Linked DNA regions of Drosophila melanogaster. Changing the gene in region 1 together with any one later gene gives a genetic interaction. Each region holds a gene or a part of one and is shown in the gene's direction. Other genes may lie near its edges. The genes, in order: fon and Tsp.

What was found.
Region 2: of fon (region 1) and Tsp, changing one enhances a phenotype caused by changing the other (phenotypic enhancement), as found in Drosophila melanogaster (one study listed by BioGRID).

The regions. Positions count from the first base shown.
Region 1 is NT_033779.5:19,384,351-19,388,275, reverse strand, and holds the start of fon (fondue), read left to right. Parts: upstream 1-2,070; 5' UTR 2,071-2,140; coding exon 2,141-2,189; intron 2,190-2,483; coding exon 2,484-2,496; intron 2,497-2,570; coding exon 2,571-2,606; intron 2,607-2,912; coding exon 2,913-3,925. Other genes in the region: CG17549 (uncharacterized protein), read left to right, coding at 1-236, 340-414, 507-738, 885-1,106.
Region 2 is NT_033779.5:6,707,002-6,710,926, reverse strand, and holds the start of Tsp (thrombospondin), read left to right. Parts: upstream 1-1,840; 5' UTR 1,841-2,640; intron 2,641-3,925.

The DNA.
Region 1 (3,925 bases):
GGCGGTTACGCCGGAGGGTATGCCAGCAGTGGAGGAGGAGCCGGTGGCTATACGGGAAGCTATAACAGTGGCGGTGGACACAGCAGCTATGTGGGTACCGGTGGTGGTGGCGGTAGTGGCTATTACGATTACGATGACTATGGCGGCACTTCACCCAACTTTGGCATCATCGATCCGTATCTATTCCACCAGCAGCTGACGAATCATATTTTGGCCCAGAACTTCGCCAACCAACAGTGAGCATCGATCATATCCAGGGGATAGATTGTTTGGGATCTTTGGGTAGTGATACGGCGGGCTATGGGTAAACCTAACGCTTGAATATATCTGTTCTTGTAGAGCTATAACTGGTCTGGCCACGGCTGGCAATGCTTATGCATCCGCGGATGCATCTCTTGTCAACGACAACGATATGTAAATACAAGTAGCTAGTCCTTAACTAATCCCAATCACTAATACGGTATCACGGTATGTTTTTCCTTATTCTAATGTCATTTTGTGCGCAGTCGCATCCAGCAACAGATCGCCGCTCAACAGGCCTACCACGACAATCTAGTGCGCCAGAATCGGTACAGAGGAGGCACCAGCTCTAGCTTCAGTTCCAGCTCTGGATCCGGGTCTGGATCTGGATCGGGATCCTACAACTCACATCGCTATGCACCCAGCTATGCATCAGCTTCCGGATCTATCGGTTCCAATGGCTATCGCCAGACGGCCTTCATTAGCCCATCCAATCCGGTAAGAAATCCAACTGCCTTGTGCGGTCAAAGTGGATATACATTTAAAGTATCTGTTGTATCTGTGAATAGTTAAAAGTAATTAAAATATTATATAAATAGGTTATAAGCTCAAATAATCAAATGGCTGATTTAACTCTTTCTCAGGCCTCTCCCAACATTGTGAATCGCTTTGGCGGCGGAAGCGGTGGTGGATCCTCGTTCTCCAGCTCCAGCAGCTCCGGAGGAGGTGGTGGCAGCGGTGGTGGCTACAAGGGCGTCTCGGTCTCGTCCTTCAGCCACAGCAACGGAGACGGAACCAGTCGACGTGGAGCCCAGACCACGGTCAACGACAACGGAAAGATCACCTCGTATTCGGTGCACTCCTAGAAAGATCGGCGGAGACCCTCCACTGGTGGCTAGGCTAACATTTACTCCGGTCTGACAAAGCAAACCGCTTCCATTGAATATGTATAAAATATAAAAATAATATACGTGTATTTTATTGTCAAATTGCCGGACTTTCTTATCGGCGGGGGCTTAAAGCGAAGCTTTCTTTAATTAGAAAGTTTCGTTCTCCCTTTCTGGCTTAGGCAAAACAAAAAAAAAATGCAAATTTGTATATACATTTGTATATTGACCTTGATTTTGACGTTGCTGTTGGCATTGCTAGGTATATAAATGCTTAGTATTTACAATTCAGTTTGCTAGATTAGATTTACTTAATTTGTTTCAATGTTTTCGTTTTGTATTGGACGGATGGTCGTATCAAAGGTGACCGGAAGTGTTCTATCTCATTGAAGTTGATTCTATATTATTCTGTTCTGTTATTTCCGACTTTTTATTTTCGTAACCACAATATGCTGACAAAAATTGGAAAACCCACCATAACCACTTAGATAGTTCTATGTTAGTACTTCCTGAATTTAATTTGAAGCTCAAGGTTTTTTCTATATATTCCTTCACCTTGCTCGCAGTTTTTTCTAAGTTCAATGGGAGCTCATTAGCATTGTGTTCCCACCTATAAACATAATTTGTATACATATATGTAATTAATCGCAAATGTGATAATGTCGGCAGACGTACATGGCAACTATATACTGGGTCTTTCTTGAGCAAGGTTCCACGCCGATCATCAAAGCTGAATATAAAAAATATTCTATATAGGGCGATGATGTCGCAATTAACTTTCATCACTCGCAGCTTTCTGCACCAATTGCGAGCTCCAATTCTACGTGTACTATCAGTGGCATTCTCTCTAGGTCAGAAATCAATCAGTTCAAGACTGAGTTATACATAAGTGGCTCTTATCACCGCCGTCTGAGGCTTTAAAGCGGAGCTCCCTTCGCTCGATTGCATTAGTACAATTTAAATCGCGAGTGTCGAACGTATTTTTCGGTCAAGAGCTAAAACGAATTGCCAAAATGAATAAGCTGCTGATTTTGGCCCTTTGCCTGGGTGTGGTCTGTGGAGGTAGTGCACTCGTTTCCCGAATATCAACTAGTTCAGAAAATTAAACAAGTGGTCCTGGCAAGCCTGGCAAACAAACTATTTTCCCTTGATTAGTGTTGTAATAAAATATAATAATTAAAAAGTGAACTCTTTGGAAATAAAAATATGTTCTAAAGTGAATGAGAAATATCTTTAAACGAAAAACTTAAAGTGATTAAATTTCTATCAATTTCGTATTTAGGTTTTGATTAAATGGGATTTTGAAATCTTCTTGCGTACGTTAACTAATACATTTTCCTCTTTTTATCATTACAGATTTCCAACAAAGGTAATTTTAATTTGAAGTGCCTCATTTAATATACATTCTAATGGTTTGTTTTTTAAATTTTTTAAATCTAAAAGTTTGGGGAGAACCAAACGTGACAGTTTCCACTCTCGGTAAGTGCCTTGTTGCAAATGTTAACGATCTTTCTTTTCTGAATCGAGAAAATTGAAATATTCCCATTGGCTGACATGGTACTTCAAAATTTTGAAATTTAAATTTTAGAAAAATATGTCTAGAATCAACAAAGGAATACAAATATATAGCTTAGTTTAGCACCGCAAAACTAAGATCAATGCTGAATTAAATTTTTGTTGTTTATTTTGAGTTGCTTTTACAATTTAAAATTGTTGATTCTAAGATCTTTTAAAAGACCCAATGACAATCTCTCTCTATTAATTGTCAACTGCCTTAATCCTCAGCCACTACAGTACCCACGGACAAGCGGTGGAGCAGGCTCGCAAGAACGCCGGCTACGGTGGAGGTTATAGCGGTAGCTTTGGAGCTGGCGTCGATGGCGCCTCCGCTCAGGTTGATGACTCTGCTCTGGGAAAACTCGAGAGCTCCTACGACTCCGTGGGTGCGACTGAATCCGCCGAAGGTGCCTCCGCTGGCGGATTAGGTGGTGCCGTTGAGACTTTGGGTGGTTCTGCTGGTACGAACACCATTGGTGCTGGTGTTGGAAGTTCCTTCGGCTCTAACTTTGCCTCCGGTTTTGGCGGCCAGAATGCTGCCTCCTTTGGCGCTCAGAATGCTGCTGGCTTTGGCGCCCAGAATGCCGCCTCCTTTGGCGCCCAGAATGCTGCCTCCTTCGGTAGCTCCTTCTCCAGCAACGCCGCCTTTCAGACCAGCTCCGCCTCCAACTTCGGCAGCACCGCCGCTCACCAGGTGGGCAGCAATGTGGAGTTTGCTGATAACGCCAATGCCGGCAACAAGGTTGACTTTGGTGGCGTAAACGCCGTGGACTCCAGTGCTCAGCTGCTCAGCGGAGTTCAAACCGTGCAGTCCGTCCCCACTTCCGAGTATTACAGGCACGAGAAGATTGTGTCCACCCCGCAACAGGTGGTCTACACCATTCCCGGTGGCTCCCAGCGTTACGTTCATCACGAGGAACGTATCGTTGAACAGCCTACCCAGGTGACCCAGACGGTCCCAGTTCAAACCGCACACTACTATCAACGAAAGGTGACCACCACTGCGTCCGCACCACAGCTGGTTCAGCCAGTTGCCAGCAGCCGTTTGACTTACGGATCGAATGCCGCCTCCACCTTTGGCAGCAATGCTGCCTCCAACTTCGGCAGCAATGCCGCCACCAACTTCGGCAGCAATGCCGCCACCAACTTCGGCAGCAATGCCGCCTTTAACTCTCAGTTTGGCAGTTCTTATGGCCAGAACTTCCAGCAGAACAGCCAGCTGAGCCAGCTGCTCAGCCAAA
Region 2 (3,925 bases), about 13 Mb from region 1:
AACTGCCATTAAACACTCTCCTTTGAATCATTAAGCCGGAAGCTTGACCAACTTCACTCCAATCAAACCATGTCTTGCCAACTCCCACACTATTTCCAGGTGCAAGGCATCTGGCCTGGTCGGCATCAGTGGCCAAAGCCACGTAACCCAATTAACCGGCGAAGTCGTAAAATGACAATATTTCCTAGAGCAATTGAAGGCTGATGATAATCCCAAACCCCCCTAAGAGTGTTAGAAAGTAGCTCACTTTCGTTACACTGCACAACAAAGTCACGTTCGCTGAGGAAAAAAAAACACTCCAGAAAGCGCTGCACACGAAGAGCAGGAAGAATGCGTGTAATCGAATCTTGAAGACCGAAAAATAAACATGTTAATAATACAATTTTATGATTAATACGCACTGAACTGCAGTGCGAGGTGGTGGGGTAAAGGTGGGGCATTTCGGAGGAGATCAGACTTGATGTTGCTGTTGCGGCGTCGAAAAGTGCGTGGGACGTCTTAGCTCGTAACCACTGAAGATGCTGGGAACAACTCGAGGAGGATTCGGACGAGGAGTGTGTGGAATGGGGCGTGGGGCCAGCGAGGCTTATTTATAAATCACGCACATAATGAAATTTCAGCAAGTGGTCGCCGCTGTCCGAAAAGCGGCAAAATATGCAGCGTTGATGTGGGATAGCATCTCGGGTGTGTCCGCAGCACCGCAACTCCGTGATAAATGCACATCTGCATAATGCCCTCCTCCAACTGTCCGCTGACATGCCGGCGACATAATGACGAACAGGTCGGGCCATTCATTCAACTTCCCTTTCCCTTGGATCCCGATGCTACTGTCGTGTTACGCATCAGTCCCGTGTCAACGGCAAATAGGAGTGGAGGGAGTTCCGAAATGGGGGACACTTGTACTGCATAAGTAGCCATTAATAGGTGCCATATGCATATCATTTTGGGCTCTGGTTTTAACGAGTAGTTCGTCTGTTTTGAATGCCTGCAGAGCGTGCCGTTTATTTACGATCTCCATTTCAAAAGAGCAAAAGTCTGGCCCCATCCACCGAGTTCCTTTGGATTTGGAGGTGGTGGTCGAAAACAAGGATGGACGCATTATCGGAAAAGGGTTCGCACGAATCCGATTTAATGGCCTTAAACGGGCCTACAATGTAAGCATGTTTCGGGATTGAGTTTCAGTTTAATGGCCCAAACGATCTACAATTGGGGCAGCCCAAGTGGGCGACTCCACCATAATAATTGGTGGATAAACTAATGAACTGAAGACAATAAGTAATTACCCATAAATATAATCACAGAGAGCGACTTTTAACCAAAATATTTATTCTTACAAATTACACAGCAGTTTTAAACAATATATTACATAATTGCAACTTAAAGCGCACAAACGAAAACTGCGCTGATCGTTACAGAATATTTAAAATAACATTTTCTATATAGAAAATAAATTTTAAATTTCCTATATTTTAAAGAAGATTACCCATTATAAAATTTTATTTTTTACTAAGGAAGCGGAAGATATGAGATCTGAAAGTTGACTACCACTTTTTCCACTCACTTCCTCAATTATTCAGCAGCGATCTGGCCACACTGTCGATGTTTACGCAAATTTTGCACGTGGGCGTCGCGGCTTACTCACGCGTCAAATCAAAAGAAACACAAACGAAGACAAAATGCCGCGTTTCTCCCAAGAGCAACAACAACAGCTGAGAACAAAACAGAAACGCAGAAAGGCAACAACAAGTTGTCGCTGCTCCAAGTTGCTCCAGCCAACAGCGCTGCCGCTGCCTCAGTCGACGCTGCGCGTCGATCATTCCCTTTGCATTTTCAAATTTTCAGTTTCAGTTCGCGTTGGAACGTTGAACAAGACGGTGCGTGTCCTAGGTGCTTCGATAAGTGATCAGTGATTAGTTTTGGCGATAAATCAGTAGCATCAATCGATCGAACTATCGCGAGAATGTTTCAGTTTTCAAACGCTTCCTAAGTGTGCTTTTGAAATCAGCCCGCGCTGTACAAAGTTTTTTGCCCATATTTTTAAATCCGATCGATCCTCAAGCAGCATCCTCTGCATCCAAGGTGTCCAAGATCGCGTCGCGTTCGCCTTAATAGCATAAAAGTGTTTTAATTTTTATTGGCACGAACGGGCGAGTCAGTTGCGGAGCAGTTGTCGTTGCTGGAGGATTGTAGGCATTGGCGTCGCGTGTTCTCCACCGCGATTCCATAAAATCGACTCCACGAAATCTTCGCGTGTGTCCCCATTCCAAAATCCAGCTTTTCTACCTGGCGCGTATTTCGAAAAGGGTTTAAATGGTCTAATGCATCCGTTTCGTTATCGATTCTTTTAGTGTGAAGATACCCTTGCGACGTGTTTGATCTTTCGCTCTGCAAAAGTACAACATAATAAAAGTGTCTGTGCGGGCGTCCAGGAAAAAGCGGCGGAAAAGTGTGGCAATACTCGTAAAAATAACTCAGGTCGTTTCCATTCTAAATTGCGCGTTGACAGCCGCAAGTGGCGCAAACGAGCCGCACAAACAACAAGGAGCTGTCAGTTCCGTCCCGCCAAGTGGATCACTTGGATCACATCCACATCCGCAGTGGGGGCACCTCTAGAGCAAGAGCAGCGTCCTTGACCACGAGGTGAGTGTGAAGGTGGGCCAGACCTCCGGGCTTCTACATATGCTGCTTATTCGTGTGGCCAAAATCTGGGCTACACTCCGCTCACTCGGAAAATGAGTGCGCCAAGTGGCCAGGTGCGAAGTGCATTCCATATTCAAGTGCCTGGAAGGTACTAGAGCATATTAAGTTGTTCTTAAAGAAGTTGCGTTAATAATGATGCATCATCTCATTTTTAACATATTCTCAGGATCGTAAAGATAAACGAAAGATATACGGAAGTAATCACGACTTGGGTCTATGTTTATTAATATCATTCATTTAGAAAGTTATTAATAGCTAAATGCTAATTTCTTGTTTTCAATCTTAACAGACTGTAGACTAAAGAATCGCATCTTCTAGCTGCACACCCACAGCAGTTTAACTCCTTTTCATTCGACTTTATTGCATGATAATCACCAAGTTGTTGATAGGCCAATCTATGAATATTTTTTATGAGCGCCTCACAAGATTTCTATTCATTTCACCGCCATTTTATATCTGATGATAAATCAAGCTAATTGTTGTTGTAATTCAAATACTATCGATACATATTAATTAGCCACACCCAAGTCAACCGCAATCTGGCGGCAAAATCGGCCTGTGGCATCCTCACCATTCGAGCGACATTAATCTATGGGGGATCTGGGGAGATCTTATCTGCATTGGCGCCATAAATACCGCAGTCGAGTCATAATTTATTAATTACCGGACTTTCCACACGTATTTAAAGCAGATCAGATTGAGGTTTATGCCTTTGCGAGAACTATAATTATGTGGATCATATAAGGTCAGAGCACAGAATATTTTCCCCTCCAACAAATATGAATTGTGATTCGAAACGGCAGCCACAGATTGCTAATGATGTTGACCAAATGAAGCTGGTCACATTCCCCAACAACGGTTAAAATACTTAATTTTATTTGGCTCGATTTCCCAATCACTTTGCAGCTTCTACTGGGCTCTGCTACTCAATTCCAAGCGATTCAATTAAAAGACGCCCACTGCAAAGATCCCCATAACAATTTATAACTGCCTGTTCGAGAGACATTTCAGACTTGCGGTTATTTTATTATTTGAATATATTATTTAGCGGCAGTGGCGTTGTGACCCGAAGGGGTATTAATCTTGAAGATGTAGTAACCAATAGTTGGGAGATACTTTTAGCTAGGCCTATGACTTCGTTGTATCGATGTATCTATACAATAGATAGATACTTTCCCTTCAATAGAGCGGACAAATAAGATCGATCTGTTCAGTTTTGCAATGA